2 linked regions of the Drosophila melanogaster genome follow. Changing the gene in region 2 together with the main gene of any one other region gives a genetic interaction. Each region holds a gene or a part of one and is shown on either strand. Other genes may lie near its edges.

Region 1 (7,605 bases), 1.5 Mb from region 2:
AAAAGTATAAACAAAATTCAAATGAATTGTAAAATAGTCTAGAGACTGCACACCTTTTTTTAAGGTATACAATTTAAGCGCTAGGACTTTTTTGATTTTTTGATAAAATCCTTTTTCTATACTATTTTTAATAAGAACTTATATTTTTATTAGCAACAAAGTAATGTGTGTGGAGTCAATAAATAAATTTGTGAAAAGGTGTCAGTTATTGTTTGGCTTATATTATAAGATTTAGATTTAGAGAAGCCGATAATTGGCAAAAGGGGAAAAATTTTAAATACAAAACAAATAATTCCTCCAACATTGTGCTACGAATGTTCTTTGAGCGACAAAGTGAAAATGTTGAGATTTATTTAATTGCTTTTGTCGCAAGGAGCCGAAAAATGTCTACAGAAATTATGAGAAACTTATAAATAACTAGTGGATGCCATGACCGCGGCGAATCGAGTGTTTATTTTCGTTAACAAAATGACGACATTGGGCATGATTTTCCAATTAAATGCTGAGCTTAAATAAATAATGCGTCTATTTATAGACGGCCAACTCACTGGCAATGGGGCACGAGTTGCCAGTATCTGTATTCGAATCAATGTTCTTCGTTTTGTGTTTGTTTATAAATGAAATTGCAGTCTGCAAACTGAAACGCTTGACTCAATTTCCGTTTCCGCCCAGCTTCACTGTAAGCCAGCGGAAGCGGCACAAATGCCAGCAAGTGGTTGCTGGATGGCCCAAGGGCTAGCCGGATCCTTTGGAGCCATTGGATCCATTGGATCCCTTTGGTGCCTTTACTCCCCAACGACCTAATTTTCGCTTGACTTCATTTCGGATATGCGTTGCCATTTTGTGACCATTGTGTGCTGGCCATTTTGCGGAGCATAGGCCGTCGGCCTGGTTGTGGATTTTTTTATGCTGATTTATGGGAAAATAATCCCGGCTAACTTAGCGCCTGCAAAATGGTTCTCCTCCGCCAGGATGTTTGCACACTCGAATCTAATTTTCCTGGCCAAACACATACACAATGCTCTGCTCTGTGCAATTTTGGCACAAACGTTGATGAGGATGTCGTCTGATGAGGATGCATGAGGGACCCCCAGGGTTCGGATAATCATTTAATCAGCCATTTGTTTGAATTGCAATCCAAGGGAGACGATAGTAATAGTACTTTCCAAAACCATCGGGTGTGTGCCATCGCGTAATTGAATTTGATTCTTTCACTTGACGAGCCACACCCCTCAGCAAATGCAATTACAATAATTTAATTGCCGTGAAAAATGGCCGCCCGGCTGCGGGGCATTAATTAAATTTTTGCGAAGACAATAGTCAAAACCCAGCCTGCGGCGCATTTAATTCACTTAAATGGCAACCAATGCGGTTTACTTCAATTCGCCGCGTATTTGTTAATTAAAATAAAAATGTAAGAAAGAAAACGCTCCGTCGAAGTGCCGCGGGCCAAGGAGGCGGTAAAAATAAACGAACACGCCATCTGTTTTTCTCCGCCGTGGGAAAAACAAGAAAAGCCTGGAAAATCTCAACTATTTCGGCTCGGCTCCACCTGTTCGGCGTCGAGAATTTAGAAATAGTCGCGCTACCCATAGCACAAATTCGTCGCGCCTTTTACGTGTATCTCGTAGATTTTCCGACTGTTATCGAAATTGTATCTGCTCTAGCAAAAGATTTTCCCCCATCCCGAAATAGATGTCGCTGTGCGATTTGTTTGTTTGGCTTTCCCCCCCGAAATACTCTAATAAAATATTAATTTTTGTGGGGGGGCACGAACTTTGACAGTTCCCAGTCGCCTTGACTGGTCGCCTCTTCACTTTATTGCCCTCTCGTTAATTTTGAAGGCATGTTTTGCTGATGGCTGTCCTCGAACAAAGTGCTTTTCAATAACACAAGGCACATAATTCAAGTTAATTTCCCGCTCATAAAGTAATCGCTGTCCTTTTTACTTTTTAAAGCTTGCAAATTGCTCCGTCTTTTCCTGGAGACATTATTTATATCCATTATCAGATTATAAATACATTGTATGAATATTTCAATAATATTTATAAAAATTTAAAACATTAGTATGATAGTAGTATGATGAAATTATTTCGAATATTCTCTTAATAAACTAATTGGCATGTTCTAAATTGTGAATATTGCAAAGGATGCTCCTCACATTTTGTAAATCTCTGTAAATTCTGAAGGACGTGTCTTTGGAAGATTTGATTATCAAATATATTTGAAATACCAATTAAATCCAATTTGAAAAACATTTTCAGTAAAAATTAATAAGTACATGTCATTTTTGTAAACTTTTTATGCAGAAAGTCCTTTTAACAAGAAATTGCCATGTCGCTGATCTGATCTGATAACTGTGAATAATTGTGAGGATGTCCATGTCATCATAAATTTCGCTGTAAATTCTGGAGGATGTGTCGCTCGATGGGAACCAATTTGCTGCCATTTTTAATTATGACCCAATGCATGCCGATGGAAATTACGGGCAACGAATGCACGCGCCCGAAATGAGTTCAAAATGACAGCAGGACAGCAAGTCCGAAAAAATGCGGCTAACATGCAAATGAGCAGTACTTTGAAGAGCACAATCTACACACACTCGCACACACACACACACACACATACCATCGATTGGAAATGTGTGAAAATAATGAAGCATTTGGATTTTTCCTTTTTCTCAACCGATGATGATCTAAAATTATAACGCACGATTCATACGCGGGAGACGGGCAAAGTCGGCGTTTCGAATATATAGAACGCCCACGCTGCAAAATTTTCACACACTCGACTCCGAATTCGGATATATTTTTGGAAAATTCTTGAACGAATTCGTCGGAGAACGCTCTCTCGCGCTTTAAAAGCCGCATACGCCCCGTTGGCTGGCATCAGTGTTAGCTTGTCAGAGCTTTAGTGAAGATCCCGCAGGACCCGAAACCAAAAACCAAGAATCAAACATGTCTCTTGAGCGTGCCGTTCGTGCCAAGGTGAATACTCAATCAGTGAAGAAAAAAGATCCTTAAGAAAACATAGATATAAAGGAAAATAGATGAAAGAAATGTGAAATTACCAAACAGTTTTGTGAAATATTGTGCCTAAAATATGAATTTTTTCTTATCCGATCCACCTAGATTGCCAGCAAGCGCAATCCCGAGATGGACAAGGAGGCCCAGGAGTGGATCGAGGCCATCATTGCCGAGAAGTTCCCCGCCGGCCAGTCCTACGAGGATGTGCTCAAGGACGGTCAGGTGCTGTGCAAACTGATCAACGTGCTGTCGCCCAATGCCGTGCCCAAGGTCAACTCCTCGGGCGGCCAGTTCAAGTTCATGGAGAACATCAACAACTTCCAGAAGGCCCTGAAGGAGTACGGTGTGCCCGACATCGATGTCTTCCAGACCGTCGATCTGTACGAGAAGAAGGATATTGCCAACGTTACCAACACCATCTTCGCTTTGGGCCGTGCCGTAAGTTTCAAATCGCCTTCTATCCCATTGTCAGCCAGGCTAATCCTTGAATTGCGGCTCATTGCAGACCTACAAGCATGCCGACTTCAAGGGTCCCTTCCTGGGCCCCAAGCCCGCCGATGAGTGCAAGCGCGATTTCACCGAAGAGCAGCTGAAGGCTGGCCAGACCATTGTGGGTCTGCAGGCCGGTTCCAACAAGGGAGCCACCCAGGCTGGCCAGAACCTCGGCGCTGGCCGCAAGATCCTGCTCGGCAAGTAAGCGCCAAAGGATGGCCAGGATGTCCACACCCTTTTCTACACTTATGCTAAGTGAACACACCCATATATATTTTGTATGATGAAAAACATGAAGAACACAATGATATTCCTCACCAAAGCAAAACTCAACACCAATGAACACACACTCACACAAAACAACACATAAAAGCAACGCAAAGGCTTGTCGCCTTATATTAAGTATACGCCTAAGTTAATCTATTTATGAGTACAATAAAGTAATTCAAAGAACCCAGTTTTCCACTTTCCGATCACCTCTATAACCTTGAGCTCTCTACGTTCTTGCTGCTGTTGTTTGTGTGGGTGTACAGACTTTATTTATCTGCCTATGGTGCGTTCTAAAAATGAATTTCATACCTATAGCCATATAGCTGAATATATATATATACTATATATGCATCATCGTATCAACGTTATAAAGCAAACATAAACACACTCTGTTGAGTGTGTGCGATGTGTGAAACATTCCATCGAAGCGTGTCGAGGTCAGAACATCAGCGTTGGGCAGAGTTATTATCAAGATGGGCATCTCGACACTGACTTTTACATATATTTTATATGTAGCGAAAGGAATTTCCCCCAAACTCACCTGTCCGAGGCGTGAAATTGTTCCCACGAAAGAACACACACAACATTATGTATTGCAGGTGCAACTATGCTGGTGCCAAAAATGAAAAAAACCAGACATCTCTCGCGAATATTTCACGCCTTCAGCTGGCACTTTTCTAATTTCTCGATTTATTATAGTTTGTCAGTGGGTGGAATTGATCTCTGTTGGCTTATTATGCTGAAAGCAAAGAGCAGGAATGGAAGAATCTGGAAATATTTTGTATTAATTGTATGTTAGATCTATTGAAAAAATATGTCTTAGAACGCAGAATATATTCAGCATGGATTTGTTATTAGTTTTAAATGACGCAGTCTGCAAATGAAATATTTTCCTCATTCGTTTTGGCTAATTGAAGTGTACTCAGGTCGTGTGTACAATATTTTAGACTCAAATAGTGCTCAGAAAGGATGATTAAGAATAAAGCGTGCCAATTTCCGAATCGGTATATTTAGAATTTTGAAAATTTCCAACAATTGGTTGCTAGAAATATTAATGAGAACAACCAAACGGTATTTCCCCTTGGTTTTGTTGTTTTCTTCAACATATATATATGGATGGAATAAATAAAAGCAGGCAAATAAATAACAAACTTGACACTGAAAATGTGGGGGATATATATATATATATACATATATATTAATAATGGTTCATTAAGAGATTTTCTCTACCGTTTCAGGGTTATTATTGATGCATAAGCTTACGACTAGGAAGTCTTGAATTTTCCATTGTTTATAGCATTAATAAACGACAAATATTATATTATTTTTGTGGAAAAATGTATTTGGTTGAAAAGTGGTAATAGCCCTATTAAATAATCGAGCTCTTTTTTCGAGGTGACATCAAACTTTGCAGCTGATTGGTAAGTGATTTTAGGGTTTCCCGGAGACTCGAGACCATTTTCTCCTTTTCACGAACATAGGCGACAGTTCGATCGTAGTCATACATCAATGCGGGCATAGCCAGGATACCACCCTGGCATGTCAAATCTCTCATCCGGCGCCTAATAGCCTTGTGCTCCAGTTTTCGGCGACACAGCTCGGATTTTAGTTTATTTTTCAACTTGTGCTTTTCCAGCAGGTTATCTTTAAGAACGTGAATTTTGTTCTTAAGCTCGTGGGACTTCTCTCGATTGTGCTTAGTCATATGCAGTTCGGTGTGGTAGAGCCTGCGCTGTCTTTTTAATTCAATATTTCGCTCTGATGGAGATGATTATTATGCATATAATAATGAACAAATTTTAAGCAGAGATGTTCATAGGACTATACCTTCAATCTTCTTTTCTAGGCCGATCGTTTTGTTTTGCACGGAAATAAAGTCATTCAAGCTCACACCGTCGCAAACCGTTTCTACATCTCTTATTTTCTAAATGGAGATGTTTCAGAAAAGTATGTTGATACAAGTAAAACAATCAAATTAGAAAACATATGAAAAATTGGAAAACAATATTGGTGATAGTAAATATAATGAAAAACTACATGGCTGGATAGTGGGAAGCAATGTGTTGTAAAATATTGTGAATAACTTAATAGCATTATGTGACAATTTGAATGAGCATAACCGGCGGATAACATGGTTGCTAACATAGCATATAACATGTCGGATAACATAGCATGTAACATGAGTTGGCAGACAACACGGCGATTAACATATAATGTAATATGACGGATAACATGGCGAATAACATGAAGGACAACACGGCTGATAAAATGGCGGACAACATGGCGGATAATATAGCATGTAACATAGCATATAAAATGGCGAATGACATTACAAAAAATACGGAGGATAACATGGCGGACAACATGGCGGAAAATCTCTCAACAACGCGTTCAACATCGTGGACAACTTTTTGGACAACATCCTGGATACCTACTTCTAAGATGCGGGCCAAGGTGTGTTTCTGCGACATGAGCAACAGCCGGGCATCGCTAATTTGATTCCGATGGTCGGCCATAAGTCGGAGTTCGCGGGCAACCAGGCGCTTGAGGAAATCGGTCTCGGCGTCCGGACGAACCAGGATGCGTTTTAACGTCTGCTCGAGATGATGCTCCGTGCTGAGAACGATGTTCATGGCGTTGGCGAGGTCCAAAAACGCAGTGGTCATTAGAATGCCATATTTCTCCCTTACCCTGATGAGGCGCTCTTGACCATAGGACAGATAGGTCAGGGCGTGATCAAGGCGACGGGAGTAGGTTGACTCGGCGTTCGGCGTTAGGCGGTCAAAGTATCGGAAGTTTTTCGTGCGTCGGAAGTAATCTACCATTCGCTCCTCCAGCTGTTTGTTATGATCCCTTACACTTGTGTAATCATGCACCTCATTCTGCAGAGCGACCAGCAGCTTTTCTTTGTCCAGTCGCACCCGAATATATTCCTCAGTACCCCGATGCTCTGGCATGACTACCTTATGTATCAAATGGTTTATAAATTCAGAAATAACCTGGCTTGTCTCTATAGTCCTCAGTTGGGCTGCCACATCGATTTCGTCCGTTTCAAGGTGTTCCGTTGTTACTGTAAACAACTGTTCAAAGCCCATGTAATCATTTCTTTCTTTTTCCAAAGCTGTTGTTCTTGAAAATTCGTCTTTTATGGGTGCCAAAGACTCGCAAATCGATAGTGAGTCGTACAATTGATCCATTGGAGTACGCGGATCAATGGGGCCAATGGTGGATTCTTCTTCCGACTCTTCGGTATCGAAGCTTGAATTGCCATCGGTTGGGGAACTTTTAAAAATTAATGATCTGTTCGATTTAATAGAATGGGAAGACTTTCTTGACGTGGGCGGCGCACTTGGCAGCGAAATATCCGACAGACTGGGCACCAGCATTAAAGATTTAACGGCCACTTTCATGGGATCTATGCTCTTGGACCTCTCGGTCACTGGTGCTTCTGAATCAGATTCCGATGGGGTTTCGATGAGATCGAGCATGTCTTCGTCCTCGGCATTAACTGCGTCCAAAGTGTCTGCTGCGGGAGCAATATCCGTGGTTCTTCTGTTGTCACTGTCGATATCCTCACCCAGCTTGGTCCACAGCAATGTTTCATCGTCCTGCTCCTCCACTTGTGAAATGGACATGTGCCGTTGAATACTGTCTTGTGACTTGCTGGCCATTTCGTCTTCCCTTTGGTCCCCCTCCTGTTCGCCGGACTTCTTCATTTTCATCTCCTCCGCGTCACGCTCCTTTAGTCGATTCATGATGTCCTTTATTGCCAATTTTCTTTCCTCCTTTCTAATGATTTTCAGTCTTTCTTCACTGT
Region 2 (7,780 bases):
GTAATCTGGGTTCACAAACCGTTTATCTAATGGTTATCAGTTGCGCGAAGCAAATTAATGGCACATATAGCTAGAGCATTTTCTTGAAATAATATAAATATATATACGTGTGGTAAACATTTAAGTCTGCTGATTAAAACATTTTCCATTTCTTACACGATTTTCCCATTAGCTTAACAGACAAAAGCCCCCCAAAATAAATCCTCCTGGGAAATAATCCTCCATCCGTAGTTGCCATTTTTATCGTACGATATTTTCGGCTCGAACATGCGCCTTATGCTTCCCATTTTCCCATATGCTTGAAACAAAAAATTACAAACATTTAAAGTTTGGTTTGAAAATGAAATAAAAAGGCGCAGAGACACAAGGGCCTCGCTGGCATTTTCCGTATGTTTTTTGTCTGTGGGGAAATGCATTAAATATGCGGCAAAAGAGAGTACTTGGCTCATGTGAAATGTATGTGTATGCAGCATACATTTATGCGCCGCCTGTTACTCGATAATTTATTTAGTCAAAAGAGCAAAAAGAAAGTTGAAAATTAGGCAGAGGCAACAATAAAATGCGAGGCGTGAAAGTGCCGCAGGCGAAAGTATTTAACACCAACTACAAACGCACGCACGTCCTGCCGCAGCGGCAGTCAAAAACAAATGGGCAGCGGCGAAAGCAGCAGCCAGGATAATTGCCCCAATGGACGTGGCAATTAACGAGCTGAAAGCCGCAAGGACTTCTCGGCAGGACTCTGGACAATGGGCCGCAAGTTATGCGGCACAAATTGCGAACACTTCGAGGGGCGGAATATTGTTGGCCATGATGGTGGTGGCGATGTTCGTGGTGGTGGGTCGTAAAGTGGCATTGACAACGGATCAGTGGGGCGGGGGGATTATCGGATATACCTGGCGACCACCTCCGAAATTCAATCAACTTCCCTCTTTATTTGTAGACCAATTAATTTTGGCAATCTAGCCGGTAAAAGCCGTCGACCTAAACAAGTGAACCCTGGCCGATAAATCGCATATTCAGGCACTGCGAGAAATATTTGGTAATTCAGAAAAGTGTATTTTAATTGCTTAAGTAAATTGTTCATCTAAGGTGAATTTATAAAAACAATTGCTCTCAAGATAGAGAACAAATTGTATGAAATAATTTAAGCTGACAGCATAAAGTTAATGCCTCAGAAACTAGTAGGTTTTTTTTTCAGTGCCTCGAGGCCGTTTTTCGTGGCAGTCATTTGAAATGCAACTTGCCAGAGTGCAACATTTCATTTTGGCTTGCAAAACGCTCGAGAATTGACTCAACAAAAACCTCGACAAGCAATAAAAATGGCAAAAACAGAGACGAACCGACTACCAAAGCCGAACTATCAGCAAACAAAAAAGCATAAAACTGTTGCGAAAATGCTTCTTTCGGCGAATGTGTTTCGTTTTGGGCCAAACAAAAACTGTGACAAGGCGGCGCAAGGAGTGAGCGAATGGAAAAAATGGCAGGACTAAAACAAATATTCAGCAGGAGGCGAACTTTATTTCGGTTTCAATTTGCGATAAAAACAGCGACAACAGTCGCCGGGGCAGCGGCAAATGAAATTTAACAACTCGCCGAGGAGCAAACTCGAATGGGAAATGCAATGAGAATGGGAAAGGATCAGGCATTGGGACATTGGGGGCGACTTGGCGGCACAAAAGGCGAGCGGACGAGGGCAGTGCATTTCCCTCGCGCTGCAATCGCTGTCGCTGCTTGTTTTTGAACATTCATAATAAATTTTGCGCTGCGAAACTCCTTCGACAGCAAAAACAAAAGGACCTCCATATATATAGTATATCCTTTTTTGCTGGTGCTCCTAGTTGTTTTTTTTTTTTTTGTTCTGTGCCGCCTCCAACCAGTTGAAATGTAACGGATGTTAGAGTTGCGCACTGAAAATTATATATAAACAGGATATGACAGGCAGGAAGCCATTGCCCCTCCAGCCCACCCACTTCGACTACGATTTTCCACCGCCCCAAGTCGAAGTGCATTGCTAAGCTTTTTCCTTACTTTTTTTTGTTTTTTTTTTTGTTCTGTTGCTATCCTTTTGCCCCGCTCTGCTGCTTGAATTTTAATGCCAAATGGCATTCCGGATTCGGCCAGGACTCGTTCTCGGACTAAGGGAACAGTATCAGACCAGCTTCGCATGTGCCGCTGGCCAGGACTAAACGGCTATCAGGGGAAACAAGTTGAGACGCCAGTGACAGGAGTAGCAGGAATTCCAGAATTCCGAGAAGGATATTGTGTCCGGGGGCATTAGTTCATATTTAATGTGAAATGCCTAGTGTTCTGCGAAATGTGTCATGTATATTTTGGTAGTTGATAAGCTTGTTTTAAGGCAAAAACAAATTAACTCTATGGATACCAAGTACTTCGAATATTTCATAGTTGCTATCTTAACAACGATTATTTTTCTTTTGTGTTTATCCCATACAGAAAAAAGTTTCTAAAATAATAATTCACACTATATCAAGCATTCTTAAGGGGAAACCTGAAGAAATTCTCCAAAATAAACGCACACTCTACTGCATTTTAAGTGTTAAGCAGCAAAAACACTCGACTGAATAGCAAAACTATAGTGTAGTTTACGATAAAGTACGGGCACTAGTCCTTTTCGCTATATTTTATGCAAGTATAAGCACAAGTGCAGTGCTCACATAAATCACGCATACGCACTGTGGCACACTGCCTGCCGCAAGAGGAAAAACTATAAATAAGCCAGACGACACTATAAACAACAAGGGAAAGAATGAAGTTTATGGCCCAGAGATGTATAGCTCGTAATGCCCATTTAATTACTCATATGAGAGAGAAAAATATAGAGCGACCATTCTTCACGATAAGCTTTAAAATCAAAACATCAAAAATTCGAATTCCCGGATAAGAATGAGCTATGTGATGGCAGGTCCTTTCCCTCTTATTTATATTGAACAACTTTATCCAATTTCTCGTTTTGCGCTGAGACCAGCACATCGCGCATAAGCACGTACAAATCGCATTTCTTTTCCGCTTCCTGCTTATCCTTTTTTATTTGGCCCTGCATGTGGGCCAGGCTTTGGTTGTTTAGCTGTCAGATTTACTTGTCTCACTGGGTCGTCTGAATATCCTGCAAGCTACCAATGTGAGTGTGGGAGTGTGTGAGCGAGTGAGCGAGTGTGTGTGCCTGTGTGCTATAAATCGACAGCTAAATCTGCAAAAACATTGATAAGACAAGCGACACGCCAATGCGGCCAAAGGCATTTTCCAAACCAAACCAAAGACCCCACTGATTTAACCCAAAATACCAAAACGAACCGAAAATGTTTAGCCAACTTGCTGCGAAATTGCTTTTCGATTTATTTTCCTTACGTATGTAGATGCCCATACATATCCGTGTGTACATATGCATGTCTGACAAATTGGGAGAGAGGTGAGAGGTAAGGCATTGTGACAAATTAGTCTGTGGGCATTTGGTGCCTGGCTGCTGTGCTGGCACAAATTATGAGATCCTTATCCCCATCTCAACGATTGAGTAATCACTGGAGTGGGAGACACACAATGTTTGACCCATTTTGGCTGGGGCATTGGGCCCAATTGGTTTGGATTTGCTTGTTTGAACGAATTTAAAAAAATTGGAAAATCGCAAAATATTTGTACGAAAATTGATGCTGCAATTCTGCTGGAATTCCAATTAGGCGCAAATTAAAGCGTACAAATATTAAAGCATTAAATACGTTTCAATTTATGTTTATAAACCTAAAAAGCTTGCGCTCTTAAATCAGTGCTATATTTCTTTAAAAATCATTATTTTATTATCAAAGTTTATGATCACAAGTTTATGGTTTCTAGATACACAAGCCTAGACCAACTTGCATTTATTTGTTTGGTTAATAGTCTTAAGTAAAACCAAAATTTAAAAACAATTATAATGGTGTCATATGGAGTACTCACCTAATGTCTTGGTCCACTGGGCGGTGGGTCGCCAGTCGGGATAGTGCTTGGGGAAGAGCTCCCGGGTCCAGTAGGTGTGCAAGACGACCTTGTAGACGGCCAGGCGGTCCAGGGTGCAGCCCGTCTGCGGGGCGGGCTGGGTGGCGGGAGGCGTGGCCAGCGAGGCAGTCGGATTCAGATTGGAAACGGGACTGGGATCATCGGTGTAGTAGTAATTACGATTCAGATTGGAATTGGAATTCAGATTGCCGTGCTCAGCGGCAAACTTGATGTTGTTGTCCCTGGACTCGCGTTCATCCGGCTGATTTTCGACACTGTATGCATATATGGATGGGTTCGAAATGAAGGAGGCGCCATAAGCACTAACGGCATTCGCTTTCGAGGATAAGGAGCCGAGAGCCAGAAGGATACACAGCAGCCAGTGAGCCGGAAAGTCTGTTTTCGGTGTCGCTCCCATTTCGTCAAATGTTGCGTGCTAATTCGCTTGCCTTCTGGCGGCTATTTTTGTTTTGATATAATTTATATTTCTCGCTCTTTACTTATCTTTTTTGCTTTTTTTTTGTATTTTGTTTGCCGCTTACACTTCACATTTGCCTTCGGGGGCCGTCGCTTAAAAATAAACGCACACACACACTCGCGGCATTCACATATTTATTTTTGGTTTCTCCAACTTTGTACGCTCTGCGTTTTCTTCACTTTTTGGACTTTTGGCGCGCAGCAAGCTCAATAAATTCGATATGGGTGCGAATGGAGCAAGAACTTGCCACAGATTCTACACAACCGCCCGCGTTGAGAGTTCGTCGCGGACTGAGCAAATGTTGCGGCAGGCAATGAAAACATGGCCCATGGGAGAGAGAACAACGGTGAAGCACTGCAGAAATTGAGAGTGAGAGAGAGAGTGCGGAAATGCGGGAGAATATTAACCATCCTTTGGCAGAGAGAGTAAAGAAATTTCCGTGTTGGGGAAATTCTTATCGTCCAACTGTTGTTGAAGGCGGAGAAAAAAGAAAGAAACAGCCTGTTGAGCTCCCAGCTAACTGGTGTTGCCCGAGGATATTTTTTAGTGCCACTAGGTTGATGTTAAGTTTTATGTTAACTTTTACTGTTCTGTTAACAGCTAGGACTAACATTAAATTATAAAGAGAGTGATAGTTTATTTAATAATCTGACTAATATCTTCTATTTTTATGTCAATTTAGATTTCATTAAAATATAGTTTTTAAGCGTCAATATAAACATACATATAAATATAAACATAAGAGCATTTAACATTACTACTATTACTTATAATTTAATAACCATCAGGAATTTTCTTTTTTTATGTAATAATAAAAGATTTTACTATGTTTCATGATTAATTTGAGTTCCAATAGTTTTTACTGTATTATTTAAGTACTATGTTGATGGATTTTAACCTTCACTTATGCAGTTCAATGACAGAAACTCGAAAATCCCTTATGAGACTGCGAATTTGACTGCCGCCGAACACTTGACTTTTCCCCAGATGAGCGTTAGTTGAACTCCCATTGTTGGCTTAACCCCCAACTGCGATTAACCCCCTGTGATTACCGTGGCTTGTGTGGTGCTTTTCCGCACCACTCCGCTTCTGTTGCTATTATTGTTGTTGTTGTTGTTGTTGTTGTTGCTCTTGTTGCTGGTGATTTCCACAGGCTTAGTCGCATTTATTGCACATTTCCTTTCTGCCAGTTCTGAATGTCAGCGTTAATGAGGCGGGCTTATGTGAATGACGACTATTTACGTATATGTGTGTGTGTGTGCACACATCTATCTCAATCTGCGACTATCAACGAGCATGTGTGTGTGTGTGCGACAGCTCGACTTTTACCATTGTGCTCGAACAATGAGAACAATTTCCGATTAAAACCAATTGAAGCTCTTTAATTGCTACAATTCAATTAAACAACACGCTAATGGCAACACAACGGCCACAACTATCGATTTATTTAGTATGGGGGTGGTGGTCAGCGGTCCGGCATTCTTTCAGAACTCCACTTGAACTCACTGCCGGTAATTGCCATTGACATGTGCTCCCGGTGGCAATTATACCACCCCCACCCCCCCTGGATCCATTGTCCCATCCCTCGGGGAAGCGCAGTCTTCAGGTGGGAGCTTCCCGAAACTTGGACACACACAATTATGTTGCACTTAAATGAGTTGTACGTGTCCTGACCGAATGTCCGTGTCCTGTGTCCTTTATAGATCGTGTCCTGCGATACGCTTGAGTACTTCTCGGCACTCGAAGAAATTAAATTTATTTTTTATCAATCTTGTATAAAATAATATATATTCATTATTCAACTGTATTTAACGAACAGCATGTCTACGTAGTGACGAAAGTCACTATATGTTATCACAGTTAACAAAATTGACTGCTCCTCGTTTTTCCCAGTCTATGTAAATTGTGCGTGCGTGAAATTTATTGCAGTTAATAATAATTGTCCATTCTACTTGAACGACGACCACAACGATAATGTGTAGCCCCAACCACTTGGCCGTGTCTCTAACCGCCTGCGGTCAATTATAAACGGACAGTCCGCCATTTGTCTTAGACATGGTCACTACCAGGTTGTTCAGCTGTCCTTTGGGCCTTTTTATGGGGCTTTAAACGCCGGGCCATTAGTTAAGTGCGTCATACACAAATACACAAGCCCTAATGGAATCCATTCAAATGAGGTGCTAATGCTCGTTTTGTGTAATGTTTGTGACCTAATGCAGGAGAGTTACAATTGACGACTTCGATTTATGGAAATTAATTCCAAATTTATTTTTATGTATTTCTTTTTAAAATAGGTTTAAGATAATATAATATTTACATACTAATTTGTAAAACCATCTTCATGATCGTGAAAAAAACGAATAAATTTTATAATGACACAAACAAAAATGATTTTATTTTATGCGAAAAATTTATAACAATTCTAAGATTAATATTTTAAGCTTATCAACAAAATCAACAAAAATAATCTAAGAGCTCTATAAATTATAATTTATATATAGGTTTTCAATAATGTCGGCATTAACTACTGATGTTTAGAAAACAATGGGAAATTCTCTCCACTGCACAGCGCATGAGTTTTCTTCCTCTCATTTTCCTCACTCTCTCTCTCTCTCTCTCTCCCTCTCTCTCTCTGGTTTTCCCCGGTTTTTAGTTTCGCTCTCACTTCCACCCACCTGAGCAGACAAGATATTTGTGTTTGTTTGTCGGCAAAATACGAATATAATCCATTCAGCCAAAGTAAAATCCCAAATACATGAACCAAAAGGGACAGCGGATGGATTGGCAGGAAAATGTGGAAATGCGGCCCCCAAAAATGTTCTACGCTCGCCTCATGAGCCAGCGAATGGCAAAAATTCCTAATAAAGTTGGCATTTGCCAAACAGACACGTAGACGTGCAGACAAACAGGATCCGTAGACCCCATGCCACATATGTATGCAATTTTCCAAAACCCCCGAAATTTTCCTGCCCAACCTCACCTGTTCCGCTGTCGCTGTTTTATTGAAAGCCGAACACAAAGCAACCAAAATGCCAACCAGCAGCGACTGTTGATGCATCTGGCGTACGTCGGATGCACTTCCTCCTGGAAATCGTGAATGCTTTGGTGGCACATTTGCATAAAAACTATGCATGCATTGCACATATATTCTTATTTATCGCAACAAATCCACTGCATAGAAACAACAAAGGCTGCACACGAATGTCATCGGAAAATCAAAATACTCCGAAGGTCTCGATGAAACATTGATCAATGAATTTGCATGTTGCATGCTGCGTGTTGCAACTACGTTTACCTCACAATGCATTCTGGGCC

The links. A genetic interaction does not mean that the proteins touch.
Region 1: of mspo (region 2) and Mp20, changing one suppresses a phenotype caused by changing the other (phenotypic suppression), as found in Drosophila melanogaster (one study listed by BioGRID).

Annotation. Positions count from the first base shown.
Region 1 is NT_033778.4:13,243,786-13,251,390, forward strand, and holds Mp20 (muscle protein 20), read left to right. Parts: upstream 1-2,884; 5' UTR 2,885-2,957; coding exon 2,958-2,987; intron 2,988-3,131; coding exon 3,132-3,464; intron 3,465-3,531; coding exon 3,532-3,719; coding exon of another isoform or gene 3,720-3,723; exon of another isoform or gene 3,724-3,974; intron 3,975-5,026; coding exon 5,027-5,045; 3' UTR 5,046-5,095; downstream 5,096-7,605. Other genes in the region: CG4712 (uncharacterized protein), read right to left, coding at 5,158-5,546, 5,616-5,712, 6,224-7,605.
Region 2 is NT_033778.4:14,708,864-14,716,643, forward strand, and holds the start of mspo (M-spondin), read right to left. Parts: upstream 4,760-7,780; 5' UTR 4,406-4,759; coding exon 3,949-4,405; intron 1-3,948.